3 linked regions of the Arabidopsis thaliana genome follow. The protein of the gene in region 1 interacts with the protein of each later gene in a pairwise test. Each region holds a gene or a part of one and is shown in the gene's direction. Other genes may lie near its edges. The genes, in order: BTR1L, AT5G46190 and U1A.

Evidence for each region.
Region 2: the proteins of BTR1L (region 1) and AT5G46190 interact in a two-hybrid assay, tested with the Arabidopsis thaliana proteins (one large-scale study listed by BioGRID).
Region 3: the proteins of BTR1L (region 1) and U1A interact in a two-hybrid assay, tested with the Arabidopsis thaliana proteins (one large-scale study listed by BioGRID).

What each region holds. Positions count from the first base shown.
Region 1 is NC_003076.8:1,247,894-1,258,694, reverse strand, and holds BTR1L (binding to TOMV RNA 1L (long form)), read left to right. Parts: upstream 1-4,741; 5' UTR 4,742-5,028; intron 5,029-5,169; 5' UTR 5,170-5,171; coding exon 5,172-5,256; intron 5,257-5,560; coding exon 5,561-5,799; intron 5,800-5,904; coding exon 5,905-6,011; intron 6,012-6,436; coding exon 6,437-6,630; intron 6,631-7,130; coding exon 7,131-7,255; intron 7,256-7,680; coding exon 7,681-7,776; intron 7,777-7,845; coding exon 7,846-7,907; intron 7,908-7,996; coding exon 7,997-8,093; 3' UTR 8,094-8,447; downstream 8,448-10,801. Other genes in the region: AT5G04440 (RAP release 2, galactose-binding-like domain protein, putative (DUF1997)), read right to left, coding at 2,071-2,142, 2,570-2,686, 2,771-2,853, 2,994-3,039, 3,182-3,372, 3,480-3,738; AT5G04420 (Galactose oxidase/kelch repeat superfamily protein), read left to right, coding at 9,240-9,350, 9,444-9,521, 9,608-9,739, 9,818-9,884, 9,962-10,023, 10,110-10,249, 10,365-10,491, 10,568-10,682 and 1 more.
Region 2 is NC_003076.8:18,718,565-18,730,438, reverse strand, and holds AT5G46190 (RNA-binding KH domain-containing protein), read left to right. Parts: upstream 1-4,189; 5' UTR 4,190-4,370; exon of another isoform or gene 4,371-4,374; intron 4,375-4,436; exon of another isoform or gene 4,437-4,576; 5' UTR 4,577-4,604; coding exon 4,605-5,222; intron 5,223-5,306; coding exon 5,307-6,044; intron 6,045-6,135; coding exon 6,136-6,429; intron 6,430-6,504; coding exon 6,505-6,560; intron 6,561-6,640; coding exon 6,641-7,004; 3' UTR 7,005-8,687; downstream 8,688-11,874. Other genes in the region: AT5G46200 (carboxyl-terminal proteinase-like protein (DUF239)), read left to right, coding at 192-263, 345-428, 516-687, 1,030-1,187, 1,289-1,456, 1,559-1,612, 1,717-1,863, 2,018-2,389; DELTA-OAT (ornithine-delta-aminotransferase), read left to right, coding at 9,168-9,328, 9,678-9,786, 9,900-10,130, 10,208-10,367, 10,469-10,524, 10,606-10,758, 10,849-10,946, 11,043-11,123 and 2 more.
Region 3 is NC_003071.7:19,513,131-19,521,941, forward strand, and holds U1A (spliceosomal protein U1A), read left to right. Parts: upstream 1-4,056; 5' UTR 4,057-4,098; coding exon 4,099-4,195; intron 4,196-4,313; coding exon 4,314-4,486; intron 4,487-4,763; coding exon 4,764-4,857; intron 4,858-5,055; coding exon 5,056-5,153; intron 5,154-5,265; coding exon 5,266-5,556; 3' UTR 5,557-5,783; downstream 5,784-8,811. Other genes in the region: PHR2 (photolyase/blue-light receptor 2), read left to right, coding at 8,758-8,811.

The sequences.
Region 1 (10,801 bases):
GGTGAGATGACAACATCTTTGACCTTTCAAGTTTTTAAAGGGAAGGAAAGCTCAAACTTCACACCACATTATCAATATTATTATTTTTGTTTATTTCTGATATCCTCAAATTATTTTGGTTTGGTATTCTCATAGACTTTAGCAAACAATTACATCTTGGTACTAAAACACACAAAAGAAAAAACAATTATATATTGGTATCATAAATGGGCAAAGGCAATTCTTAATAACCTTCATGGCCATATTTTTTCAAAACTAAGATAACCTATTATATAATATAAGAACCGAGTCCGAGTGGCAAAATAAAATGTGACTTTTTGTATAATAATGCTCAGTTTCCTAGTGGCAAAATAAAGAGATTGCGTTAATTATGTTTATATAAACACTAAAAATATTTCCCCAATTTGGATCGATCTTTGTGAGGGTTTCGTACCAACCAATATTCTCACATGCAATAATCAAGAAAAATAAATAAATTATATCACATGGTGGCATAGTTGATTTTTTTTTTTCATTCTCTATAATTATACTTTAATCAATGATATAATCAAATAAGAAAATGTCTATGAGAAAGCGTACAAATGCATTGGGACGAAAGACAAGGTTGCATGGATTTTGGGTCTATGTTAGGTCTCATCAGTCACATACGTCTTTCACTGATCGCTTAATATAAATTACACAAACGTACGTTTTCTTTCTATAATATCCACTCATCTTCTTCCCTTCTTCGTTTATATATGTTTATCATGATAAGACATTGTGATTGTGTTTAGAAAACAAAATATAGGCTGTGATTAGTTATTTCAAAGAAAGTTATTGTGTTTTAGATATTTATAGGAAAATCATTGCTTACGGTTTTAGCAAATTCTCCAAAAACTAGAAACGCTTTAGTATGTATATGACTCAACTCATGCATTGCATCTTCTTCACTATTTTGTCTTTTACTGAAAAAAAAAATATTTCTCGAAGTCACAAACTTTCGTTTGAGAGGGAACAAACGCACGTTTTGGTTTTAACATTTTACGACATCCATATACAATCATGCATCTTTAACTTAGTAAATTTTGATATTTGTATAACTAGCTAGTCGACATATCACATATGCATTGATCTTTTGTCTATATCTTTTTGTTTTGAAAATTTCAGGCAATGTGAATAGGATATTCACTTAAACTACATTTACTTTGGCTATGCATGGCTTGACAATATTTTCCAATTAACCGAAATTAAAGGAAAACATATCAAACACAATCTTTCTTGTTTCACCGTTATGTGAATGTCTTCTTTTGTCTTGTAACTGTGAAGTTAGCATTACTTGCTTAGTTGCTTGATTTTGTCTTTTCAAAGAGAGAAGAGACTTTTGCTTTGAGATACGCACAAATGATATATGGCTGTCGTTTGTAAAAGGACCGATAAGAAAAATTATTTCTCCGTTGCTTAGAACATTTGCTTCTTTTTTACTCATGCTTAATTGTATAATAGGGCTTTTTTTTTCGTCAAAGTATAATAGGTTTCAAAAGATAAATTTAGATGGTTCTCTTTTATGTTTTACGTTTGACATGGTTCTCTTTTATGTTTTACGTTTGACATGAATCACAAACAAAAGTACTCACCGACTAAAATTTAACGTTTGTGTCTACAAGTTGCAAATGACTTCTGATTAAAACATTAAATTGTTTTTGGCTTCATTTTGAAATTAAACACGTTATCTTCACAAATGACATGCAGCGAGAAAGCTTTTCTTCAGAAAAGTAGTATTCAATGAACCGGCTCATCCATTTATCGGTTCAATTTTAGTTCTACCAGACAGTTTTTTGGTACAAAGGAGATCCGTTTAAGGAACTTTCGGTTGGATCATTAACATGACACACCGTGAGATTACAGTGGAACAAACAAACAAACGTATTCTATTGAAAAGGGTTGAAATTCCAGTGACTACAGATTCCTTTGTGATTATTTTACCCGAATACCACATTGAAAAAGATCGAGAATTTGCTATCATCCCCTATTTGAACTCGAGGAGGCACAGGATCGTTGAACCAGGTACGTACGGTAGCTTTTGCTTTACTATCAGATCTCACCGGTCCCAAGAGGTTGCCTTGAAGTGTCTCCCGAAGCCCATGCATGATAGTCTTTGGAGAGCTGCAAAATGAATAAAAGAGCATGATAAGATTAATGTTGGGATGATTTTGCAGGCAATGGAATGTATTTATGTTCATATATGCAGAAGGAGGAGCACATAAATATAAAGAATCAACAAGCCAGTTTTACAGAGGAAACCATAGAAGCCTAGGCTAATCTGAAACCTGAGTCCTGGTTCAACATGTGCTTTACCAACATAAATAACGCCCAAAACATGTTATATTGCCTCATCAAACAGCTCAAATATAAAAGATCTTCTCAAATATCAACAGGAAACCTCAGATGTCAGACTAATCCTCTCAAGCAGGACGATCTTGCTATCTAAAAAACCATAGTGCCATAGAGAAATAAATGATCGCTTAACGGACCTCGTTGATGCAGAATAAGCAATTAAAACGTAATAATACAAATCTGTTTTCCTGCATACCTGTGACAAAAATCGAGGTAGCATGAGTTTAAGAATTTGATCAAGAACTTGTGTCCCAGTCGCCTCTATTGCTCCCACTGGGAAGACTCTAAATGCAAAAGGAATCTCGATATTGACCTACAATCGCCAAGTAAGTCAGAGATACCACAGCAATGCACTGATTAACTAAGCAAAAGGAAAAAAAATGAAGAACTTAGCTACCTCAATGACTGCATCTGAAGTAATTTGTTGCTCTGATGAGCCCTCCTGAGTGCTATCACATGATACCCGGTTCACCATAGAAGCTGCATGACTAGAAAATAATAAATGTTAAGCCCACACAACCATCACTAAATTTAAATAATTTCAGTACACAAAACTTGACAACATGGCAGTACTTTCAAAACGGGTTAACAAAGTGAAGCGTATACAGGGATATGCTTACCATCAAATTTGTCATTTTGAGCAACCACAACAGGAGATCCCTCAAGCTATATGGCACAAGAAAATACAAAAATCATCACAGTCTTAACAAATCATAACTGGATTTGATTTGACATATGTCTAAACGCCACAAGTTCCTCTCTTTGTTTGCAAATTCAATCATTTCCAAAAGAACAAAAGAAGAATTACCTTGCAGGACAAGAGCTTGATGCAGCAGCCATTAGGCTGTTCTTCAACCCTGACAAGCAAAACAGGGCAGACTTCAAAGTTGAAGAATTTAAACGTATAAACATAACATCTAAACGTGTTATCATCAACTCTCTCAATCCTCTCCGCATCAAGCACCGAGTACTGACTCGCAGGTAAGCTCATATACTCAACTGCAAACCATAAACAAAAAGCAAATTCAAAATCAAACAATCCGATCCAGATTTAATCATCCACAGGAAACAGAAATTTAGATCAGAGAGAATCGCGCTGAAGTTACTTAGAGGTCGCTGTAGCTGACGAACGGAGACGGATTGTTTCTGACGAGCGATGAATCGAGCTTTGGGGGTAGAACTAGAGGAGACGCGTATAGGTGACGTAGAAGAGGAAGTGGCGAGAGAAGAAGGTTTGGGTGATTCGTCAAAGGACGATGAGCTAGTGATGGTGAAGGAGAGAGCTGGATTTCTAGGGTTTCGATTCGTCTTCTTCGCCGAGAACGACAGAGAGGTAAGTCTAAGCGTAGCTGAGCTCAACGCCATAGCTAAAACGACGGCGTTTTAGGATATGAGATGTTTAACGACTAACGGCTTAGCTTAAACACACAAGCGAAGGAGAGAGAGTGAGAGAAACGTGATAAGATTATTGGGACGACGAAGATTTGGGAGGTGGCACCACCATCACCACCTGCTTCGACTGCGCATGTTAGCCTGCTGACGTTGTTTCGTTCGCTACAGTTAAAATACGCTGAATATTGAAAGCAAGCCCAACAAGAGCCCGTGAAATGTATATATTGGGCCAACAACGAATAACCTTCGCAATTTGAGTAAGTAAATATGAAAATGTCATGTAACCAGACTCGGTTGGATCCATAACACTTGTCAGTATTTTTGATTAAAATAATTAGTTTTTTTCCTAATTAAAGAGTACAAAATTAATTAAGAAAATGCGAAAAAGAGTTATCTAATTATTGAAAATAATAATGTGTGAGGAATTTGATTACTAATTTTAAAGTTCACAAAATAACATGATTATTTTATTGAAGGTTTTAACCAATGAATCTGTAGTCGTGAAGAAAACACAGGTTGCCACTTCCCATTATTTATTTTGGCTAAAGAGCCACTTCCCATTATTGCCGGGCTAAAAAACCAAAATCACCTTATAATAATATTGAACTTACATTATTAAATCGACCGATTCAAATCATAAACATGCATTACCATTAATCGTATCTATCGTCTTCGTCAACTCTACCGTACAATTTGATAAACATATATTTACTGCAATTCAAGATCTAACAAACTATGAAAATAAATCAAACCAATGCAATAAAATCAAATTCTAAAATGAGAAAATAGAGAGAAAAAGACACATATTGCCATTTTTATTTTATTATTATCATGTTCATTCTATTGCTTTAAAATTGTAGAAAAATGATAATTTTGGTGTTTTATTTTCTAATTATGTTTTATTTCGTAGCACATTTTGATGTTAACACATTTTGTAGTTGAGTTGATTTGATATTTTAACAAATAAAAAGTGAGATGATTGTGAAAGAGGAAAAAAAAATTAAAAAAGAAATAGAGAGGCGGTCAATAAAATTAAATTTAGGAAAAATAAAAAATAATAGAATAAGGGAGGCTAGTGGATAGATAGACGAAGGACACCAGAGCCACCTTCATTCACTTCACAAACCGCTCGGCGACAAAGACGAAGAAGCCGAGGAAGCACCGATACGACGATTGAGACTTAGTTTTGCTCAGATTCATTTAACCACCGGCGCCAAGTGACGACGACGACGGAGGGAGCAGATTCGAATTGTGTGAAGACAGGTAAACTTTGGAATTTTTCCTTCTCAATCTCAGATTTCGATGAACGAGTCTTATCTCTTCCTCTCTCTCCGATTTCGTTCTTATTTCTCTTCATTGAATTGATAATGTCGATTGGTTAATGCCGTTTATCTTCTGTAGCAGCAATGGAGTCTACTGAGTCATATGCGGCAGGTTCACCGGAAGAGCTGGCTAAGAGATCCCCTGAACCGCATGATTCTTCCGAAGCTGGTATTTTCGATCCGATCTGGTCTTCTGTTTTTTTTTCTCCTTCGACTCTGACTCAATTGTTTCGGTATTTCGTCACATTCGTGAATCGGATCTCGTTTAAGTACTCTGTGATATGTCAACGGACATGTGTGATTAATGTCTTTTTTTGCTGATGAAAACTTGTGAGAATGTTTCCTGTGTGATAGATTCATTTTCCAAGGATGGTTAAATTACGCTGTTTCAATTCAATGATTAGCTCAATACTGATGCGGTTTAGTGAACCATGCTATCTATTTGACTATCTAATGTGTTTTCCTCTTTTCAGATTCTGCTGAGAAGCCAACACACATTCGGTTTCTTGTATCCAATGCGGCAGCTGGTTCCGTCATTGGGAAAGGTGGCTCGACCATCACTGAATTTCAGGCAAAGTCTGGGGCAAGGATTCAGCTTTCACGTAATCAAGAGTTTTTCCCGGGGACGACTGACAGAATTATTATGATATCGGGATCAATCAAAGAAGTTGTCAATGGACTGGAACTTATCCTTGATAAATTGCACAGTGAGGTAATCTTTTTTGACAAATTTGTATTTCATGTCACAGTTGCGTTTATTTAGTTTATATAGTATGTCACAATGAAATCAGTTTTAACTTTTCTATCTGTTTGCTAGCTTCATGCTGAAGATGGTAATGAGGTTGAGCCTAGGAGAAGAATTAGACTTGTGGTTCCTAACAGTTCTTGTGGAGGTATAATCGGAAAAGGAGGGGCCACCATCAAGTAAGTTTCCGTTCTGTATTTGTTGCAGCAGTTTCTTTGAGGTTTTCAGACCTTCTATAATCCATAGCCTGTTTCCTTTGACACCATTTCCTACAGCACGCTTAACCACCAAATATCATCTATAATGTATCTGGTTATGTTCTTGCATTGTTTCTATGTTCAAATCTTCTCTGGTTCATATCTTTAAGAGAGCAATTATTTTCTCTGAATGCATGCATAAACAAGTCAAGACCCTATATATAACAGGTGAACAAAGTTTCTGAGTATTAGATATGACTCAGATTGCAGTAGTTTATGCGTATGGAATATCTAGTTCCTTTTAAGTTCTAGAATATGGCATTGCTTTTATGTTTTTTTCCAAGGAATACTGATTTCAGTTGTACTGCTGTCACTAACCCTCAAGACATTTCTTTCTTTGCAAAAAGGTCATTCATTGAGGAATCTAAAGCTGGTATTAAGATATCCCCTCTGGATAATACCTTTTATGGGTTGAGCGATAGGTTAGTGACATTATCTGGGACCTTCGAGGAGCAGATGCGGGCAATCGATTTGATTTTGGCTAAGCTTACTGAGGACGATCATTACTCCCAGAATGTGCATTCCCCATATTCATATGCAGGTATATCAACTCAGTACTTGCTTAGTTAGGTTTGTTATCCTCCTTGAAGCTTCTTTTGTTATCGTGTTCTGTATGTCTTTGATTGCATTTATTCATGTTGGAAAGCAATATAGTAAATGGTTAGATCATTTCCGGAGTTTCCTTTGACAATTGAATTGACACTATCAAATTATTTGTTTTAAGACTGTTTAGTCACTACACATGGACAGGCGTAGATAGGCTAGAAATCACAGTACAAGGTTTTTGATTTCTTGTTTTAGGGTCATGTGAACAATCTAAGTGTCAAGTGTAGATGCTGGATCATATCCCTTGATAAAAATGTAAGATTAGAGTAGGATTTTCTACTGAGTTTTAGATTGTCAGATGTCAACTAAGGTATAGTAATGGCATTTAGTATCTTTCATCTCACATGGACCTTCTTTCCATTTTGAGGGTTGTGTATGATGGTTGTCTGTTGTAGCTTAATTCTCTTGTAAGTTCCTTTAAACTCGGCATTTTAGGTCTTTTCTACTCTGGTTTTCATGGTCCTCCATATGCGTATGCGCTTCCTTCTGTTGCAACAGCGGGATACAATTCGGTTAACTACGCACCCAACGGTTCTGGAGGCAAGTATCAAAACCACAAGGTTAGCCTCTTCTCACAATCTTCCACCCTATTAGTATTTATGCGTTTATATGAATCAATCTCTATTTGTGTTACTACTATGGATAATATGGTGTTACAAGTCATATCTTCCACCCTATTTATGTAAACGCATATATACATGAAAAATCCCTATCGATGTTATTACTATGATTGTTTGGATCAATTCGTACTACAGAAACTTTAGGAGATACCAATGTGAAATCTACATCTGATATTTGTTAGGAATTAGGCTTATTAAAAGGATTGGTGATGCTTTTAATGAACCAAACTACGAAAATAAATTTGATCGGAGATGCAATTCCTGTCACGTCTTACTGTGATAATAAGATGGCATTTTGGTATTTAAACAGCTAGAGATTCGTTTTTTTCTACATTACTTAAGCTGTGTTTTGACATATATTCCAGGAAGAAGCTAGTACCACGGTGACAATTGGTGTTGCGGATGAGCATATAGGATTGGTGCTTGGACGTGGAGGAAGAAACATCATGGAAATCACTCAGGTATTTGGCAACCCTTAGTTAAAACTCTTTCGGTCCACTGAAACTTAAAACCCACTTTTCTTCCCGCAGATGACTGGTGCCCGAATTAAAATATCAGACCGAGGTGATTTTATGTCTGGAACCACTGATAGGTAAAGTTACGATTATTGGAGAGTTACAACAGAACAATGTGTTTGATACCTCTCATGTCTAACTTGATATAAATGGAAAATATGGACAGGAAAGTGAGTATCACAGGGCCACAGAGAGCAATCCAACAAGCTGAGACAATGATAAAACAGAAAGTTGATTCAGCCACAGAGAGAACCACCGATTGAAACCGTTAAGAGAATCCATCTCGGTTCCTATCTTTGGTCTGTTGACTTCATTTGTGGAGGCTTAAGCTATCGGATGGGGATCATTAATCATCTTTGAGTGAGGCAGAGATTTCTCTCTAGGAGCTCTCTTTCGTTTTATTTATATGTCGACATTATATAATGTGTTTTTCTCTGGGAGAGAAGCAGATTTGGAGTTAGAGAAGTACTATTTTCATTTGTTCTTTTAATAACTTTGTTGCAATTTGTTGAAGTTTTGTTTCCCTTGAGTTCTTTCTGTTGTAACAATTTACAATAACCAGCCATTACATTGCATTTGCTTCTTTCTTTTATCAACTATTTTCAGTTCATGATACCAAAACGTGTTGTGTCGGTATAGGACTTAGGAGGATGGTAAATACTAAGCTCTTCAAAAATCAACTCCGTAAAAGTTTTATCTTCTGCTGTTTACACATCAGACCCTTACTTTTCTCTATTTACATAATTCAGATCTTGTAAATTTTCTCCCAGACTCTTCAGTAAATATCAAGTTATGGATCCTGAAACTTTTATTTAACTACAAGTGCTCGGATCTTTTACTATTTACAAGTAAGACTTGTATCTTCTGATAATTATATATATGACGAGGAACAGTTTTCTATTTTCTGAAGTACCCCTAATATTTGGGTACTAAACACAGAAGCACCCATATCCTTTGCTAGTGTACGTAATTGACCCAAACTTTTTAATTAGTATATACACTTGGAGATACGATCTCGCTTCTCACAATCCTTCTCCCTCTCCGGCTCCGAACCATTCACGTTCTCCGGCAGCTCTGGTCATCGCCGCCATTTCGGTTTCTAACTTTATGTTGGTGTTTCTCCTTCCCTTTATTTCTCAGTTATCACTTAATTAGCTTTCGTGAAATCACTTTCAAATTTAGTGTTCAGATCTCTGTATGATTGCAATGTCCCCAACTTTAATTTCGTGATCGTCTCCGAGAAAGACTAGGATCTCATTGTTGGAAAATGAAGGATCGTGATAAGCTCAATTCTGGATTTTAGAAGTCGTTTCTACTTGATTATGGAGTTTATTGTATCCAATTGTTAGATCGAAACTCTTTTGTTCTCAAAAATGGCAGAGTGAAGCTGTGACGTGGTCTCTCTGGTAATGGAAGAGATCAGGAAAGAAATAGATGTCGGTGATTGGCATTCAAATCTAGCTCACGATGAATGGACACCACTCCCTGTTTCTGGCTCTCGAGCATCAGCTCGTTACAAGGTCACTGATTATATCTTTGTCTGTGGTTAAGCATTTGATTAAATTGGAGATAATTTCTCTGAAATCTTTTCGTGTGTTGTCTGGATGACGCAGCATGCGGCAGTGGTTGTTGATGAGAAGCTCTACATTGTTGGTGGAAGCCGGAATGGCCGATACTTATCTGATGTCCAGGTAAATTGTGTGTTTCTTCTTTGTGTCTGTATCTTCCTTTTGTTTTCATGAATCTGTGGTGATTTGAAAAAAACTCAACTTATCAGGTGTTTGATCTTAGAAGTTTGACTTGGTCTAGTTTGAAACTGAAAACTGAATCATCAAGTGCTGATAACATTCAAGAGGATGATGGTAGCAGCTTACGGGAAGCTTTTCCTGCTATTTCAGACCATCGCATGGTAAGTCCTTTCTTAACATGAAGAAGAATTTTGTAATCAATACTCAAAAAAAATGTTAAATTTGAAGCATTTTGGCAGATTAAGTGGGGAAACAAGCTTCTTTTGATCGGGGGACACTCCAAGAAGTCATCAGATAACATGTTAGGTTAGCCGTATCCAGCTTTCCTTCTGATTGGATGCTCTTTCAATTTCTTATTTATGTGTTTGAGTTTTTTCTTACAGTGCGGTTCATTGATTTGGAAACACATTCATGTGGAGTCATTGATGTGTTTGGGAATGTTCCGGTAAGAAAACTGTTATCTAAATTGTTGCTCACTCCATATGTAGCTGTTTTGGATAGTTAAGTTATATTATCTTCCATGTTTTCTAGGCTTCACGTGGTGGACATTCCATTACACTGGTTGGATCCCGAGTTCTTGTTTTTGGTGGGGAAGATAAGAACAGGAGACTGCTGAATGATCTGCATGTTCTTCATCTTGAGACAATGACTTGGGATGTTGTAGAGACAAAGTAAGTTTATGTAAAAGTGCAGGCAGCTAGATCTAGGCCATGCTTATGTTTACTGCACTTCTGTCTACCTCGTCTTACAAGTAAATGCTCTGTATTGTTTTTTTTTGGATGATAGGCAGACACGCCCAGTTCCCAGATTTGATCACACAGCTGCCACACATTCTGATCGCTACCTCTTGATTTTTGGTGGTTGTTCTCATTCGATTTTCTACAGTGATCTTCATATCCTTGACTTGCAAACAGTAAGTAAGCACATTTTATTGGTATTTTTTTTGCCAATTTAGTCATATTCTGATGAATTTACTTTACTCATGGCAGATGGAGTGGTCACAGCCTCATGTTCAGGGAGATGTTGTAACTCCTCGGGCAGGACACGCTGGAATCACCATTGACGAAAACTGGTATATAGTTGGGGGCGGTGATAACAGTACTGGTAAATGCAGTCTCTGCTTTTAGAATTACGTCTTACTCGCTCAACATGCGATTCCAGTTAACACTTTGCATTCATCTCTCCTCGGTAACTCTTTTCTTTCCGTGCAGGTTGTTTAGAGA
Region 2 (11,874 bases), about 17 Mb from region 1:
GATTTAATTCCCCCTTTCCCTTAAAGACCCGCACCTACCTATATGGTTTAAATTTGTTTCATAGTTTGTTTAGCCGTAAAAGACGGGTATTTCCTATTTTTGTAACCAATGCAAAGCCTTTTTAATCAAAAGCAAAAAAATAAAAACAAAAGAGAAGTAAACAGAAGCTCTATAGAAAAAGGAAACAAAAAATGGCTTCTCTTTGGCTGAAGTTAATCTCCATAAGTCTAATATACCTCAATGTTATCGCTAAATCAACTCCGGTATGTTCCTTAACAAGTAATTTGGTATACTAAACTCATTAATGAAATTCTCATATTGCTATTGCTGGATTTGTATTGCAGCATCAAGAAAGCGAATTCGAATGTGTCTCTATAGACAAACAATCTGCACTACAACATCCTCTAATGAAGAATCATCGCATACAGGTATTGTTCATTTGCCATAATTAAACATACTAATCATGTTTTATAAAGAAATATGTTGGAATAAAACCTAAATTAATGTTATTGTAGACTAGACCAAGTCGAGAGCTTCTATCAATACTCTCTACGTCCAATGGTAACATACTCAGAGAGATTGATTTGAAGGGATCAGAAGAATGTCCAAAGGGACAAGTACCGATTCATAAACAAAAAACCAACTTAACCAATAGTCTTATTCATCCCCAACAAATTCATAGAGCAGGTAAGTACTCTTGTCTTAATCAACTTTGACATAGGGCTGATTTTGTTTTTACGCTTATATTGATTTCTTCGTCTAGTGTACATCTTCAATAAACATATACTTTGTAATTACTTTTATTTTTATAATTTGTAACGATGTTTGATAAAAAGATCAATGTTAACAATATATAAAACTAAATATTTGAACTAGTAATTACGAACACAAATATAACTATTTACACTTTTTTCTATTCTGAAATGGTTAGAAACTTAGAATTTCTGTATTTGTTTTTAAATCTTTAAGATATATATATATATATTTTTTTTTAACTTTTACTACAATTTGTTTTCTCGTTTATTTCAGGCCGTATCCTGAAACAAAGTCGCAGGGATAAAAAGAAGAAAAAGAACAATCGACGTAAAAAAAATAAAAATAAACTCATGATCCCTTCTGCATTGTTGTCTCAAAAAAATAAGATTCCTCACCACCAGCCAAAATTATTTACAGAGACACATCTACATGTAAGTACCCTCAAGCTGCAAAAACCACTTTACATATTTGGTGATGATGATTATCTTAATAGTATAAATAGATATATGAGTAATTGATTTTTTTTTTGTAGTATGCAATTGTTAGGACATTTGAAAACACGACAAAGAAATGGCGTGGAGCACAAGCATTGTTCAATATTAACAAGCCCCGAGTGGTGCAAAATCAATTTAGTAAGGCTTGGATTTGGCTTAATTACATTCAAGGAAGCTTAATGAGCAGCATCCAGTTTGGTTGGGCTGTAAGTATTTTACTTCAAACTCCATTGATCAATTTAACAAAACTAAGATTGTCACTTATTCAGATTTAACCCCTAAACTTCTCTCTCGATCCCTCACTACAGGTGCATACGAATTTATATTCAGACGATCGTCCAAGACTAACTACGTTTTGGATGGTGAGTGATGATGATTTCCTGTATATATTCTCGAGTTTCATGATTAACATATGTTTGGTTAATTTTGGTATGAGCATAATCAAATATTTTCTATATTATTACAGTCAGATCAGCATCCAAAAGGATGTTACAATGCGTTATGTCCAGGAGGTTATGTTCAAATTCATAAATCAATCTACCCCGGTTTGGTGTATGATAAAGTTAATGCTCTAGGAGGAAAACAGAACACTGTCCATCTTTCTGTTGCTGAGGTACAAATTAAAACCCTAATTTAAGAAACAAATGTAGTCTTACTTGTTTATCTCGTTTTACATGTTGACTTTTTGTGTACGTTGGACTTCAAAAAAGTTTTAGTTTTTTTAGTCAACATTATTTGAAGCTATGTATGTGTATGTACAAATGCAGGATCCAGTGACCAAAAATTGGGTATTGACGATAGGATCCATAATGATAGGCTATTGGCCACGTCAAAGTCAGATGGTAGATGGAGCTTCTGAAGTATACTTCGGTGGATTTGCAGGAAACACTGCATCGTCTCAACCGACGACAAGCCCACCAATGGGAACTGGAGAGTTTCCGACAAAAGATTTGAGTCGGTCTTGTTTCATGAAACAGCTTAAATATGTTCTTTCGGATTATTCAGTTGTGGATATTAATGCCAACGAGGTAGAACAGTATGTGGATAGTCGTAAGTGTTATGGTGTAATGTTTCTCAAGTATGTAGATTATGATTCCAGAGAGACTCTTACGTTTGGAGGACCTGGTGGACAATGTTGATAAGAGTATTATTCTTCTACATGCATAAATATGGTCTCTGTTTTTAATTATTTTCATGCTTAGTAGTTTTCTTAAAAAATTAAAAATATTTTAGAAAAGTGAAATTTTTTAACTTGACAAATGATTATTATATTCATGTATAGTAGTCATCATGATTATTATACTTATGTTTTAATTTATTATAATTTTGAAATTACATATGCATATCTTGACAAAAAGTTTTTATCTATATATATAATTTTTTAAACAAAAAAAAATATCCACCCAATACAAAAAAAAAAGATTGTCTTACATCATTTCTTATATATTTTGCATTAGTTATAGATGATGTAAAAAAAAATTGCATCACTTAAATAAGTGACTTTAAAGTAGAGATGCATATAATTTGCATCGATTTATTACTAATTCATGTTAATGTTAAAAAATATTTACATCAATTATTATACTCCATGTAGAGTGAAAATTTTAAAGAACTAATAATATCAGTTAGTCACTGTCTATACGCTATATGGTACTCTACCGTACGACTAACGTACAAAGTATTTTAGAACAATGCCTAAACTGAAAGAAGTTCATGTGGAGTGTGTGTTGTTGAGAAGGTGGAAGAAGTTTAAGCCTTTTCCATGTGTTCTTTGCAAAGATCCTTCAAACTCTTCACAACAACATTGACCTTTTCTTCTGAACTACTCGAATCCATCTTATTATAAGCTGATTTAAGAATCTGCATCTTCAACCTTGGATCTAGAATAGCTCTCATAGCTAGAATGATACTGTATTGATCCCAATACTTATCAAACTTTAACTACATCTTACTAACTATCTATTCCACTCCAAAATCACCATAGTTTGCGTAGTCCTTCAAAAGACACTCAATTTTCCACTTGCAGAAAATACACATTAGTTGTAGGATATTTGACACTTGAGAAGTAGGCAGTGATGGTACTAAACGACTTCAAAAGGTCACAAATTCTCTCTCCAAGATCCCACTCATACTTAGAAGGAAATGATATATAGTTTCTGTCACACTCTTTCAAACTAGCAAATGCCTTACGAAACTTTAAAGTTCTGACAAGCATATCATAAGTTGAATTCCAACGTGTAGGAACGTCTAAAGATAGTCCAGCACCACTTCTAATCCCTACACTCTCAACACATGCTGCAAATGAAGTCAATCTCGAGTCGATTATTATTAATGATCATTCGTACGAATTCGTTGATCTTTTCGAGAATCGTTGTTTCGGCTTCGTTTTTAAATTAAGATTTTGAGAGCAATCGAAGATTTAAGGAGAACAAATGGATTTTAAGAATTTTAGGAGTAAAAGTGACTAAAAGGACGTCGTTTTAGTCTCAACGAAATAAAAAAAATTTGTAAATACCCATAACCCAATCACTGTTATGTGATATGTTGTTTACGCGATTAAAATTTAAACTAATTTTTTTTTGGTGGAAAAAAAATTAAATTAGTTTTATTACATAGTTATTTTACTTATTATAGTATGAAACCGGTACACGAAGACAAGTTTAAAGTATACGAGATAAGTATAAAGTATTAATTTATACGAAATAACATGTGAAACGAAGTACTTTTTTTTGCAGAATCAAAATCTAAACGTAATTAATCAATAAATATTTAAACAAGTTTAACCGTTTAAGCCTTAAAACTTAAAAGTAGATTTTAGGTTTAACAATATTGTTTCTGAGAAAATGGGCTAAACACCAAATCTAAACAAAAGTTAGGGACTTTCTTCATATTATATTATTGTTAACTATATATAACCGAAAGAGATCAATCAAAGTAAAAATCTCTTTTAACACATCGCCGTCATCTCTCTCTCTCTCTCTACTCTGCATCAGACAATCACAAATCTTTCTCTTTCTCTTTCTCTCTCTAACACAATTTAGAACAAAAGTTTCTTCTTTCTTCTCTCCCGAGAGGCCTCTCGCTGTTCATTGAAGTTCTCTTAGAATTTTCTATCACCTTGTATGTATGTTCATCGCTTGAATTGATAATCCAATTAACGAATTTTCAAATTGAATCATAAAAATCGTTTCTTTCAGTTTTTTCTTATCCACCCAATTCTCAAATTTCTCTCTTTTTTTTTTAGGGTTCCTCTCAGATTTCTCTATCGATAGAATACATTGCTTCTGCTTTTGATCAATTGTACTTCTTTTGTCTCTCTGTTTTAGGGTTGTGTAATTTGCAAAACAGACAACAATGGTTGAGCGTGGGAAGAGGACTCACAATCGTTTCAGAGACAACAACAATGACAACAACCGGAATCAAAGGAGAAGACTTTCTTACGAATCCGAAGAAAAAAAGATCGATAACAAAGACGATCTCGTTGTTGTTTACAGAATCTTATGCCCAAGTGGTGTCATGGGAAGTGTTATAGGCAAAAGTGGCAAAGTTATTAACTTGATTAGGCAAGAAACTAGAGCTAGGATCAAAGTTGTTGATCCTTTTCCAGGTTGTAGCGAAAGAGTCATAACGATCTTTTGCTCGGTTTCGGAGAAGAAAGACATTGTTGACATTGAGTATAGTGAATTGGATTACTCTGTTCCTTTGTGTTCTGCTCAAGCTGCTCTTCTTAAAGTCCATGATGCTATTGTGGCTTCTTTAGCTACTGCTGCTGAGAACACTAAGATTGATAGAGATGACTTTAGAGAATGTCGTCTTTTAGTTCCGTCTAGTCAGTGTTCTATTGTCATTGGTAAATCTGGTTCGATTATTAAGAACATTAGAGGTAGAACTAGAGCTAACGTTAAGGTTGTCTCTAAAGATGTTTCTGATCCTTCTCACACTTGTGCCATGGATTTTGACAACATTGTTATGGTTAGTATCAGAATTCCAGTAGAATTTGTTAGCATATGTTTCTTTGCTTATTTTAATCGATGTTTCTTATTCTTATTTATTTAGATATCTGGTGAGACTGAATCCGTGAAGAAGGCACTTTTCGCTGTTTCTGCAATCATGTACAAAGTCAGTCCTCGAGAACAGATTCCTCTGGATACAACTGTCCAAGAAGTTCCCGCTAGTATTATAATTCCCTCTGATCTGTCTATCTATCCACAAGCCGGTTTATACCCAAGTCAGGATTCTATTTTCCAACATGGGGCTAATGTTTCATCGTTTATCGGTACACTACCTCAGGGTTATGGAGAAAATGCTGCAAATCCTGTGCCGGTTTTTTCTGCTTCTGCTCTTCCTGTTGTTCATGGTTTTGGTGGGTCTTCCAGATCAGAAAAGTTGGCTATAAAAGTTATTTGCTCTTCTTCCAAAATTGGTCGTGTTATCGGGAAAGGAGGATTAACCATTAAGGGAATAAGACAAGCAAGCGGGTCTCATATCGAAGTTAATGACTCGAGGACAAATCATGATGATGACTGTGTTATCACTGTCACTGCTACAGAGTCTCCTGATGATTTGAAGTCTATGGCGGTTGAAGCTGTTCTTCTACTTCAAGAGAAAATTAATGATGAAGACGAGGACAAAGTTAAAATGCAACTCCTTGTATCTTCTAAGGTAATAGGATGCATTATAGGGAAAAGTGGCTCAATCATAAGTGAAATCAGGAAAAGGACAAAGGCCGATATTCATATCTCGAAAGGAAATAATACGCCTAAGTGTGCTGATCCCAATGATGAGCTCGTTGAGGTAATGATTCTTAGATTCGTTCAGCTTTGTTTTATTCAATTCTTCAATTTCTCCAATAGTGTAAATGATTCTTTTTGCTTACTTTTATTAGATATCTGGTGAAGTAAGCAATGTGAGAGATGCTCTTATTCAGATAGTTCTGAGGCTTCGAGATGATGTTTTAAGGGATAGAGAGACTGGTTCCAGGAATCAACCTCCTGCAAGATCTGAGAATAACAATTTCTTCTCTTCAAGTAGTAGTAATACTGGTCTTGCACTTCCTCAATCTTTCATGTCTTCTGTTCCGCAAGTTGCTTCTGTAGATTTCAATAGGAGACCAGAAACCGGGAGCAGCATGAGCATGCTTCCTTCGAGTGGTGGAATCTATGGTTATGGAAGTTTTCCGGTAACATTTCCTTCTTCTGCTCAAAATGGATGATCTCAGTTTCTGTGTTTATAACTTAAGTTTTTCTAACTACAGGTGGGCAATACAAGTTATGGATCCAACTCCTCTTACTCATCCAATCTATATGGAGGGTAAGTTTGCAAGTTAGTTTCGTTTGTTCAGTATTATATTTTCAACTCTTTTCCCTGTTGATTATCTTGTGAATTCACAGATTGCCTCAGTCTACTACTATGGAGGTTCGAATCCCAGCAAATGCAGTGGGTAAAGTTATGGGCAGAGGAGGAGGCAACTTGGACAACATAAGAAGGGTTTGTTTAATTTTTATTTTTATTTTTCCTTCCTCATTACTCTCTGATTGCCATAGCTTCATTCGTCTCTTCTTCCCTCTTTCCTATATAACATTTTCACATGGTATGTGCCCTCTCTCTCTCTCTCTCTCTCAGATATCAGGAGCCATGATAGAAATTTCTGATTCCAAAAATTCCCATGGCGGTCGCGTTGCTCTCATTTCCGGGACATCTGAACAGAAGCGTACCGCAGAGAACTTGTTCCAAGCTTTTATCATGTCCACTTGAATAATTTGCTCTGCCCCTTAATCCTTTTCCATGGAAGTGTGTTCCATCAATCTACCTCTCAGTGGATTTCTTTGATCGGGTTTCTCAGGCTTTCCTCCTTCCATCAAGCTCATGTTTAGATATGGTTGCATCTCTCATCAAACATTTCGGTATCTCATCTCGACTCAGTTACTTTTGGTTTCTCGTGCTAGACATTTTATAGTCTTTCAGGACCATTCTTTTCCCCTTTCCTTGCGAGCTGTTCGTACTATAACTACTTATCTCCGTGCAATAAAACAAAATCGTTCTTATATCAATCAAACTTTGCTTATTCTCCATATGTGGAATCAGATCTGCTTTGTTCTTAGTCCAAAGCAGCAGTCCTATCAGTTATGTGTTAGTTTACCGACTCTGCAAATCCCACTTCTCAGCTTCTTATGTGATGCCAAGTGATACTCACCATATCATAGTTCTTGGTGTTTCTGTATAAATTTCTGCAGTGAACAGCCATAGGTTATTATAGCATAGTGATCTTCAAGAACAGTAGCCTTTAGATCTCCTCTTGTTAATGATCGTATTTGTTTCTGCTTCTTAGAAGTTTGAACTTGTTAGTGCTTTGATCTTACGATCTGATTATTTGAAACTCCATCGGTTTATCAGAGTATCAGTAGAGGAATTTCTCATTCTTGATGATCATCCCATTCTCTGCTACGATTTTACTATCTTTAGGTCAAACTCCACTGATTGATCTTCTTTATCTTAGCCTCTGTTACCATTTCTGATTTATTCTCTTCCCAGATAAGCTCCCCGGAACTCTGATCATCTATATTAAACTTAAATCATGATCTTATAGTGCTTGTAGCATATTTAGAACCTGCCAGGCTGCGACAAGCTTTTGTGAATGTTATGTGTTTTCTGGCCATTCCCACATATTAGGTTGTCTCTCCATGAAAATTAGCATTTGTCAAAAAGATTTTCTGATTATGCTAGCGTTTGCGCTCGAACACTTCGGGCTTGGGATTTGTCCTATAAAGCTGAGGTTCCACAACATACTAGGCTGTCAAAAACCAGCCACAATATAGTTTTTTGCGGTTTGATGATTTCTCTGATAAGCCTGACACTCGGCGCTGGCTAGGTTGGCACCGTAGGATTGTTGCATTAGAACCACAATACTTACTTCTTCAAACGGTTTTCTGATTCTGCTGTGTTTTGGCTTCAGCGTTTGCTCTATTCCCTTGAGAGTGGCATTTAGTTGACAAACCCAAAATACTAGGTTTTTGGAAACCCACAACATTTCTATATACTGTTTCTGGTTTAGCTTTTGCGGTTGAAGCCTAACATTCTAACACATCCCGGGATTTTAAGCGGGTGTGTTGATCTTTAGCAGATCCTATATTCCTATTTCGTAAAAAATGGGTTTCACGAGTGTGATGAATAATAGTTTAGTTGTTGCAATTGTATAGTACCTTGAGCATCGTTTTGATCAAAAGACCACTGAAGATAAGTTTCTTAGTAGAAAGATTGATGTTGATCCATTTGGAAGGTTTTGTATCATATATGGTCATGTAGTAGTTTACGTTACGCAACTTTAAAGTGCTTTTCCATTTTTCTAATATAAATGTGAATTTCGATCAAGTGTTTACCAAGTTCAATTCTTCTAATCTCTCTATTGCATATCACATAAGTAATTAAAGTATAGCATTAAATAGGAAGAAAAAAAAAAAAAAGAGATTATGGGGAAGTCTTGGATTAACTTAGGAGAGAAAAACAACATTTGACAATTTGTAATTTTCAAACTCATGTTATAAAGCAAAAAGGTTCACTTATATCCGATTTTTTTAATATACTTGGAATTATTCGAATAACCTAGATTGTAAGCTAGAATTTGAGAAATAAATTTCCCATATTTGGTTAATGAAAAAATAAAATAAAAAATTCCCATATTGAAAATTGAGTCTAAAAGTAGAATAAAGTTACAACATTGTTCAACCAAAAAGAAAAACCGAAATCAAACCGTAAATAAATTTTATACCATATTTTTAGTATTCGGATAAAATTTGCCCATCCCGAGAAAGTCAGAAAACGATCATTTTCTAGGAAAACGAACGAACAGAGGACAAATATATTAGATAAACAGAGGGAAACAAGAACAAAAACGTTTGCTTCATTCTCTGAAAGACTCTAATGGCAGCCACCACGAGACGGTTGCTTTACTATGTGTCCAAAAGATTCTCTACCGCCGGAGTGCGGCGGAGCTATGGCGGTCTGCCACAATCGAATTCCAAATCTCCTCCGTCTTCTTCTCAACGATTGATGGAATTGGAATCTGAATTCAGTGCCCACAAGTAAAGTCTCTTTCTTTCCTCTTTTTGGGTTCTGGGTTTTGCACGTTCCATCAAAAGTTTTGATATTTGGGATTTGTTTGGTTCGATCGGACTTGTATGTATATATGTACATGCCATAGCTGTATAGAGCTCATGATTCTGAAACTTGAGAATATATTAACTGGAGTGGTGATCTTTTATTTTTAGTTATTGATTAAGATTCATGATGATGACTAAAGCTGATAATCTTTTATTGTAACGGTTCATATCCAATTTGATTCCCATGCTTGGTTCTTTCTTTTAGAATTTGAAAATTATGAACTTTAGCTTCTTCTTAATGTAAATTTCTCTTGTATGTGTTAAAATTCAGTTACCATCCTGTTCCGGTTGTGTTTTCTCGCGCGAATGGCTCAACTATATGGGACCCTGAAGGAAAGAGATACATTGATTTTCTTGCAGCTTACTCTGCAGTTAATCAGGTAATACAATTCCAAATCCGCTTCCCGTCACTCTAAGATACAATATGCGGAGAGTTTCTACTTGTTAGACTCATTGTTTGTGTTTTAATGCTTAACTTTGTTTATTGTTGCAGGGACATTGTCATCCTAAGATCATGAAGGCATTGCAGGAACAAGTGGAGAAGCTCACTTTAAGTTCACGAGCGTTTTACAACGATAAATTCCCGGTATTTGCTGAGCGTCTCACAAACATGTTCGGTTATGATATGGTGCTTCCTATGAACACGGGTGCTGAAGGTGTCGAAACTGCTTTGAAACTAGCAAGAAAATGGGGTCATGAAAAGAAAAATATTCCCAAAGACGAGGTACAACTTTTTTTTCCTGTTAAGAGTATTATTCGCAGTAACAGGTATCAAAGATTTGATACTAGTTTCTTTGACAGGCTATCATTGTCTCTTGTTGTGGCTGCTTTCATGGACGTACATTAGCAATTGTTTCCATGAGTTGTGACAATGATGCTACTCGTGGATTCGGGCCATTGTTGCCAGGGAATCTTAAAGTTGATTTTGGTGATGCGGATTCACTTGAGAAAATCTTTAAAGGTCTGAAATGTTTCCTGCTTCAATTTTTAAATGAGAGTATTGTTCCTGAGATTAAGATTTGAGCTTGAGCCACTGAGTTGATCATGCTATTGTAATTGCAGAAAAGGGAGATAGAATAGCGGGATTTCTATTCGAGCCTATTCAAGGCGAAGCTGGAGTAAGCTTCTCCATTCAAGCTAGAATATAGGAAGATTCATGCTGGTTTTGTTGCTAAATGTTGAAAATGACTTTGGTTTAGGTTATTATTCCTCCCGACGGTTACTTGAAAGCTGTTAGAGAACTCTGCACAAAATACAATGTTTTGATGATAGCGGATGAAGTACAAAGCGGTCTGGCTAGATCCGGGAAGATGCTAGCTTGTGATTGGGAAGAAATTCGTCCTGACATGGTGGTATGTTCTTTTACATTTTCTAAGCTCTTTATTTCATTTTCTTAACGGTTTCCTCCGTGAGCAAAGCATCTTGACACTGTTTTCTGAAAGATACTTGGGAAAGCATTAGGTGGAGGAGTAATTCCAGTAAGTGCAGTGCTTGCTGATAAAGACGTGATGCTTCATATAAAACCTGGTCAACACGGAAGGTTCGTATTCATTACTCTGCTCTTTTGTTGACCTGAATTAGCATATAGTGGTTTGACTGCTATTAAGCTTCTTCTTTTTTCTGTTTGTGAAATCAGCACATTTGGTGGTAACCCTTTAGCTAGTGCTGTAGCTATGGCTTCTTTAGACGTTATCGTGGAAGAAAAACTCGTTGAAAGGTACAGTTTTGCTTTCTATATCGATTCAGGTTCTTTAGATTAAAATATTAAGTTCACGTTTTGGTTTGAATCTATAGATCAGCAAGTCTTGGAGAGGAACTGAGGATTCAATTGAATGAAATCAAGAAACAGTTTCCGAAGTACATAAAGGAAGTACGAGGAAGAGGCTTGTTTAATGCGATTGAGTTCAATAGCGAAAGCTTGTCCCCGGTTTCAGCTTACGATATTTGCTTGAGCTTGAAGGAGAGAGGAGTCTTGGCTAAACCTACTCACAACACTATTGTCCGGTTAACTCCACCACTCTCTATAAGGTAAATTAGAAACAACTGAACCGGTTTGGTTTATTTAGTAGCTTATCATAGGTTTCTTGGTTGAATCAATTATTGGTTTTCTTTCTTTTGCCAGCTCTGATGAACTCCGAGATGGATCTGAGGCTCTTCACGATGTACTCGAGCTCGATCTTCCAAATCTGCTGAAAATCAATTCCGGTAAAACTCCGGTTTCTCATATAACCGAGTGTGATCGCTGTGGAAGAAACCTCTATGCTTGAACCGGTTTGAAACTTGATTAGGTTCTGGTATAATTAGATTCTTTGTATCTTGTGATTTCCATAGGACACAGCACCGGTTTGGTATAAGAAATATATTAAAGTATAAGGCCGAACCGGATTCTACCGAGCTTGGTAGAAATAACTCTGGTTTATTTCTGGTTTGGCATTAAATAAAACCAACATAAAATAATATGATGCCTG
Region 3 (8,811 bases), on another chromosome or scaffold:
GAATTGCGCAATTTCTTATGATTCAGTCGGTTATTTAGAATCATGATTTATATTCAGTCATTATGCTAAACTTCTGTTTATTTATTTTTTATATCATGATTTGGTGATTGTGATCTGGTATAATCAAGTAGGCAGAGTCTATATTTATTTACTTTTAGATATGGATGTCAAAAGCAATAAATAATTAACATAGTATATATGCACGAGTCAAACTGAGAAATTCATGCATAACTTAATAAACACACACGGGGTATATATGCACGAGTCAAACTGAGAAATTCATGCATAACTTAATAAACACACACGGGGTATATATGCACGAGTCAAACTGAGAAATTCATGCATAACTTAATAAACACACACGGGGTATATATGCACGAGTCAAACTGAGAAATTCATGCATAACTTAATAAACACACACGGGGTATATATGCACGAGTCAAACTGAGAAATTCATGCATAACTTAATAAACACACACGGACGAATATCATTATATTGTTCTTGCTTAGATGCTAATCTTAGATGGCCTTCCTCATTTTGCTTTGCTTTGATGGATCGATCTCTAGGCTAGCTCTAGCACTTGTTTTCTCTTGCTTTTTAGTAATAAAAATATATATTTTTCTTTCATTTCCTTTCGTTTGAGTCATTTTCAAAAATATGGCTTTAAGACCATTTTTACACATCAGAACCTAATAAGTGTTTTGTCGTGAAGAGGAATGTAAATTGGATTTCCGTTGGAATTTTCTAGTCTGTTTTACAAATTGATTACGACCTTATTGCTCTCTACGCCTTTTTCAGTCTTGTTTCTACTTTACATAACATTGGTCTACCTCGATCGATTAAAAATATATATAACATTGGTCTACCATATAATAATATACAAATGACAATGGTGTGTGATTTCCCCCAAAATCACATATACTCATTTAGATTTAGATTTGATACTATACACCTTTTTCATGTTAAATTTAATAGTTATAAAATCAAAAATTATTTCGCTCATAGACAACATGGGTCACAAATTATATGCTCTTCTATAATTAGTTACCATCACCATTATTATTATTCTTTTCATTTCTCACTCAATTTCGCAGTTTTCTACTTTTCTTGCTTCTCAATGTTCAACAGCATTACAATTATTATAAATATACAAAAAGTTAACGTAGTTTTAATATATTGGCCAAGGTTAGTGAAATGTTGTTTAAAATAGTATTTCGATGTACAAGTTGTTTTTTTAATTCACGGGTTTGCTCATACGTCGGCCGCAGAAATAGCGAATCTATGGGTATTCACTTAAGTTGCCATGTTGGGTAATTTATTTGATTATTGTTTAACCAACAGCAATAAGAGAGAGAAAAGATTGTATTATGATTTGATGAACAAGATAAGGTTGCCCATTGGTCAAAACATTCCCCAAGTTGGGATATATTTCTATTTTCATCATCCTTCCATGTGATGTGCCGTGCGGCAAATCTAGAATAATGTACTATCAAAGTTGTCAAAAAGTAAAAAAACATACCAAAATATCAAAAACAATCTTTGTTAGTTTGTTTCCTTTCCGATGGAATCAATTTACGACACACCAAAATAAAATGCAATCTAGGACCATGTTTTGTTGTTTGAATTTCATTCAGTTAATAAAATGATGATACAAGAAATAATCATTCACATTTCTATGAAACTTCAGATGACCACTTTCTCTTTTTAAAATTTTCTTAGAAAGGATATTGGTAGTCAAGAAAAGGCAAGAGAGAAAAACATTTACAAAAGAGTTAGGCTGAAAATAGGGACATTTGTGAAAAAGTAAGAATTGATTTTACAGAAAAAGGAAGTAAATACAATAAAATAAAGAAGGATAGCGCTACTAGTATCTATTTTAAAATAAAATAATTCCCTATTTTAGTAAATTATTTATCAAAAACACAATTTATTTCACAAATTATTTTATAATTAAGGTCACTTTTATATTTAGTAAAATTGTAAACAAATGATATATTAAGAATAAATAGTACTAGATAAATCTAAGTAGTTTCGATAATTCTTTTTTCAAAATTTTGATTTTGTAATATGATGTAACACCAAGTCAAGGTTTATACATTGAGCCTAGTCATGGCCAACGCATTCCTCTCCCTTTCTTCCCCTTTATTACTTTCTTTTTTCCTTGTAACGTTTTTTTGCCTCACCTTTATTTATTTATTTTGGTTTTCTTTCTTTCAAGTCATTTCGAATCCAAAAGATTAAAGAAAAACTGGAACAATAACACGTACCAGCTTACTTATTAGCAATCAGAAAGAAAGACAGTGACTGACGCCAATATCTTAGACATTACAAAGATGAGGAAACCCAACGTACGTTCTTCACTTACACAATCTAATCATAGCGTGAGAAGATCTTTTGGATCAATTAAAGGTATTGACAAAGAGAGTTACCCAAATGAAAAAGGATCAAACATTTGATCTAATCCAAAACCCGATAATGCGCAAATAAAAAAGGAAAAGACAAGTTTTGAAAGTCGAAAGGTAACCGATTACTTCAGAAAAATTTCAAGTATTACTCTAGTTCATCAGAAATCCAATTTGCCATTTATGATAACTAATCAAATCAAATACTATAAGGAGCAAAAGCAGAACTAAAAGAGAGAAAGATTTTCTCCTACTTAGTTTTCATATATATATATCATTATAGCAATGTAAAAGTATAATCCATAATAGTTAAAAGATAAACTCAAGTCATACACAGACTGACCATGAAGTTTCGTAGCTAGGCTTAGACCTTGAAACCTCTGCTCCTTCTTCTTCCTCTTGCTATCTCAATTTTTTTACCAGTTTGACGTACATACGGTTTGGTGTGGCTGTGAGGCACACCAGGAGCTGGTCCAAAGTGCTTCACTGCTTCACGTGTGTTCTTAGGACCTCTAAGCAGAACCTGCAATCATTACGGAATGCTACATCAATCGCTACTGCAATAATAAAAAGTGAAAATATAACCCTTGTAAACTGAGTACAAGTGGTCCTCGAGATAGATATTCTCTAATTTTCATCGAGATAGCCTTTTAAACAAAGGCTTACAAGCCACTAGATTTTGAAAGTTAGGACAGTAACCTCAAATTCCAATCATCATGAAACGAGACATAGTAACTGAACTAAGCTACATACGTCACGAACAAGTAAACGATTAGCACAAGTTTCCACATTTCGACAACTGAACTAAGAGTGAAACAAGAATGGGATATACCGTGTTCTCTGACCAAGTGGGGCACGGAAGAGCGAGCTGATCAAAAGTGAGGCACTCTCCACCAGCCTTGTGGATCCTAGCTCTAGCGCTCTCAGTGAACCTCAATGCAGTAACTGTAAGAGCCGGAACATCTTCGATTCTAACATCATCAGTCACAGTACCAACAATAACAGCAATCTTTCCATCCTAATAAAATCAAACACACAGAGCATTAGTTCATGAGTCGCCACCAAGTAACATAACATCGAACTCAATGCAGTAACAACCTAAACAACAACAAAATTCAAACCTTTCCGTCCATGTATCGGACCAGACGAGAGAGAGACAGTGGCGCTTTGTTCACTTTGCTCATGAACAAACGCTTCAAAATCACGGCATTGAACTTGCTTTCTGTTCTCCTCACCAGATATCGGTTCGCCTAAAAAAAAAAAAAATTTAATCTCTGACGGATTTTTAGTCAAATCCTCAACCTTGACAAGGAGCTTGAGATAGACATCGTCGGATTTAGGCTCAGTACGTTTCGTCTTCTTGCTCTTACCTCCGGCTATCAAATCGATACCCTAAAATGATGAAACACACAGAAGAAGCCCAAAGTGAGAGTCAAAATCTAGAAAGAAGCAGAACCGAAGATTGCTTGGGAGTGAAGATAAGAAGTGAAACTACTAATAATATGTATCAGTTTAGGGTTTTTGATGGGCTAAATATATTAATCGGCCCACTAATAAGAATATTGGGCTAACTGATGGGCTTATTAGGGCTTTAGGAGGAACAGAGTTAAACCTCACTTTTTTTTATTAATTCGATTTTGGGTGGTTCCGGCTAATAATCTTCTCCGAATTCGACGGAGAGATTTGGTGAAGACGATGGAGATGCAAGAGGCTAATCAAGGAGGAGGATCGGAGGTTTCTCCGAATCAGACGATTTACATCAACAATCTCAACGAAAAAGTGAAGCTTGATGGTACTTAATTTTTTTTTTTTTTTTTTTTTTGTTTTATCGTCTCGTATATCTTCTTCTTCTCCTCCGATTTGAGTTGATTGATCTCTTCATTGTTGTTATTGGTAACTTTGTTCTACAGAGCTGAAGAAATCGCTGAATGCAGTGTTCTCTCAGTTCGGGAAGATACTGGAGATATTGGCGTTTAAGACCTTTAAGCACAAAGGACAAGCTTGGGTAGTCTTCGACAACACCGAGTCTGCTTCCACTGCTATTGCTAAAATGAATAATTTTCCTTTCTACGACAAGGAGATGGTACCAATTCCTTCCACTCCAGTTACTTTCTTGATAACTTCTTCTTACTCGATGTGTTTTGGTTTGCCTATTTGCCCCTAGAGTTAGTGGAACACCTAATTAGGGTTTGAATCTACTGATTAGAGAGCTTTTCTTAGTGAACCACATGGATTCTATTTGAAAGACCCTTTATATGTTTAGTGGTTGCTTTTAGGTTATTGACCATGTTTTAGGTTGTGGAAATACTTATCAATCACTTTGCTATATTATTAATTCCTAACTTTAACAATGTGGACAGAGAATACAATATGCCAAAACAAAATCAGATGTTGTTGCCAAGGCCGATGGTACATTTGTTCCTCGCGAGAAGAGAAAGAGACATGAGGAGAAAGGTGACACTTTTTTTTTACTTCATTGCTTCATTGGCTCACTTTGACCATTACTGCATATGTGTACATGAGATTTATTGCTCTGTTTCTCATTCCCACATTCTGCATTTGATCATTAGTAGTCACATCACATTCACATTGCTTCTCCACAACCTACAAACAGTTTGTTTTCGCATCTAAATATCGTCTTTGGAAGTGCAGGAGGCGGCAAGAAAAAGAAAGACCAGCACCATGATTCTACACAGATGGGCATGCCCATGAACTCAGCATATCCAGGTGTCTATGGAGCTGCACCTCCTGTGAGTTATTTCAACATCTTCTTAACTCTAATCTTGATTCATACGTTTGGGGGACGCTCTTAATTCTTTTCCTGTATTCTGATGATCGTTCTTATTGCCACGCTTTTCACAGCTATCGCAAGTACCATACCCTGGTGGTATGAAACCCAATATGCCCGAGGCACCAGCTCCGCCAAATAATATTCTCTTTGTCCAAAACCTTCCTCACGAGACAACTCCAATGGTGCTTCAGATGTTGTTCTGCCAGTACCAAGGATTTAAGGAAGTTAGAATGATTGAAGCCAAACCGGGAATCGCCTTTGTGGAGTTTGCTGATGAGATGCAGTCGACGGTCGCAATGCAGGGACTTCAAGGTTTCAAGATTCAGCAAAACCAGATGCTCATCACGTATGCCAAGAAATAGACAATTTCGTTTTATTTGTGTTTCGATGAGATATGTTTGTATCTGTCAATGTTACTTCTTCCATGGTTTGCGCAAGAAGGAAACTTGTCTTTCTTGTGTGTTTGTTGTAGAATTGCTTAGAATATTACACAATCATCTAACTTACAATTTTTTCATCCAGACAATAAGCGTCTCGATTTGGTGTTTGTCTATCTAATATTTCGTCACCTTCTTCCACTTATGGATAAGCCTCTTCTTCCATATTTGATCAGATAACTGAAGACCTTTAATTTGACTGATTAAACGAAACTATAATGAATTAAAGTAAAAAACTCGCAAAGTGAACTTTAAACTAAAGGTTTATGGATGATTGGTTTGTTCTTTTTTATTTACGAATTCTTGGATATCTAATAAAAGAGAAACAAGAAGCAATCATTATTTGATGTTGGATTGGTGAAAGAAAAGTCTTTGTAGTGTAGCTGTTTTTCTTTGTTGCTGATGAGGTCAGCGATTATTAGGTCCAAAACTCGTGCGTCAAGAGAATTGAGTGAGCTCTCTCCTTTTTTTGAAATATTGGGCGAAGGACACTCCTCCATGCATTTAAGTTATCAAAAGCATTAATTAGACGATGGTTCAATAAATGAGTGAGCATTTAGTGGGAAACACGAGTGTGATACGGACACGTAAAAGCATTAATGCATGTGTTTATAGATTTGGTGATGACTTCATTGTCTGACTCTGTCTCCTCTTTTTACAAGACAAAAGATTTGTTGCTGATTCATCTCTGCCTCTCTGGTCTGTGTGACACACACTGCCTAATTAGTGTTATTCTGTATCTCAGCTCTTGCTTACTAGCTTATCTTAGTACTTAGTAGTAAAACATTAATGGGTCATTATGTATATGTCCAATGAATCACCACTTTAAACATTAATGGATCACTTGCTAGCATCTTCAATTACTATATAACAATTTAACTAGCTATAGTAAGACCATTAATCTAGAGATCATATTTACCTATCCTGAGTCCATGTGTGGACTGAGGAGGATTATACATTAATCATAGACCATATATATAATATACACAATCAACTAATGAAAGAGGGAGGAATGGTATCAACATAGGGACCTTTTTTTTTTCCATGTTAGAGAAAGTTAGGACAACACGCAAAGCCCTACGTGCACTCTTTCATTATTCCTCTCTTCTTTTGCCCCCAACAGTCTTTGACGACCCACCTTGCCCTTTTGACCCTTCTCTCTCACGCACATGTATGTTATTAATTCAAATGGTTCTTTTATGCTTCGGCATTTATCATCATGATATACATACATATCGATCGATAGAGGAAAAAAAAAAATCATTTATGTAGTAGAAAATTTACAGATATATATATATATATATATATATCGTATAATGTATATCAATATTTGAATTTGAAGAGTTTCAATATAAACTGAAACAAAGTTAAGTGTAGATTATTATTAGTGAGGAACTAGTGGATATCCAGTTTATTTTGGTATATACCGGTAATTCATTCTAATGAAGTGAAAGAATATGGATACTGTATTTTTTTACCATGCCATAGAGTAGATGCTAGCTAAAGATTAGTCGTAAGAGAGGTCTAAGGTCTTGCTTGTCAACGCGTGACCGGCTTCATAGGATCCTAGCAATAAGACAATATGGTACGCCTAGCAACCTAGCACTTATATATGTAGAGTTTGTGAAATTTAGGGCAGACAAGCCCCCACACTAAAAAAACAGTAATATGGAATAAAAAAAAGCTTTCAAAACTTAGCAGTTATTAGACAAGGTATTGTTTGGCCCTAGCTAGCGATCGTTTAGCTCTCTTCACTCTCTCACTTTTTTAGTTCAACCCTTCTTTTGCGTGAGATGCCATCATGGCATGGTATGGTTCTTTTGCCTTACGTAAAACACACTCACGCCAGCACACACACACACACACATAACATATACGGATGTGCGTGTGAGCTAGTCTTCCATTAATGCAATCTTTGGGCCTATATATACAAACCTTTCCATAACCAAAGTTCTCATACTACAAACGCCCCTCATGTGCTTGGAAATGCGGGTGAGAATCTCCATGTTGGAGAAGCAGGGCACGTGCAAACCAACAAACACGAAATCCGTCTCATTTGCTTATTTGCACGTACTTAACTTCTCCAACATGAGCTCTTCACCCATTGATGTTATATATCCCTTAAACCTTATTGATAATGTGTTTTTCGTTGTTCTTGACTAGCTCTTCGTTGTTTGTGTGTATATGTGTGTTAAATCATTTGTGTTCGACGGTTGATTAAATCTTTATAGTTCTCATATATGTAAGTGTTGCTTTGGTTATTTTGAACCTTATTGTGTGCTGACCAAAATGTAGCGTTTCTAGATGGGATTGACGGTGCACAATGCACATGAAACTAAAAGGGTAATTTCAAGCTCTGTCTTCGCCATATATAGTTCTCATTGAGCTCTTTGGCTTGCATTAATTACGAGAGTGTTTTCGAACTTGTGGTTGTATACTTCACTGCATGGACCGTTATTCGTTTCAAATTACCTACAGAGTTATACATTTAGCTTTTGTGATGGTTTTTGCAGCATATGTAACGCATTGATCAGAGGTTCATATACACAAAATGGAACGAATATATGGAGAGTCCCATGATATGTAAGATCGAATTAATCACTTGTTTGAAGATCAGAAACTGTACTTTAGCTACTTTAATCTCTAATTTTGTCATTTTCAATTTTTATTCTGGTTTTACAATAATGTTAGTTTTATCTTCATTTTTATAAATCTTTTTTTATATGTGTAAAAATGGCAAAATGATAAAACATAGGAAACTTATAATTGAGACCTTTATGATTTTAAATAAATTTATTATTCAAAAATTTTAATTTCAAATTTTATATTAATTGACAAAATATATTTCAATAAAACTGTTCAGAACTATAATAGGATTTAAAAATGTTAAGAAAATTCGTATTTTTTTCCTTCATTAGTAGTGTTTATAATAGAAAAAAATCAATCAATATTTCTAAAGTTGAAAATAAAATAACAGTGCTACGATATATTTTAAATACATTTTATTAAAATATTTGATCTAAACAGAAGAAATTGTGTGGGGAAAATCGACGAGAGCTTATCAATTCATCTCACACTCTTCTTCACTCTCTTCTCTCTACACACACACACACACACACACACAAAATGGATTCTTCGAATGTTGAAGAAAACCTAAACCCAGAAACAAAATCCGCAGAA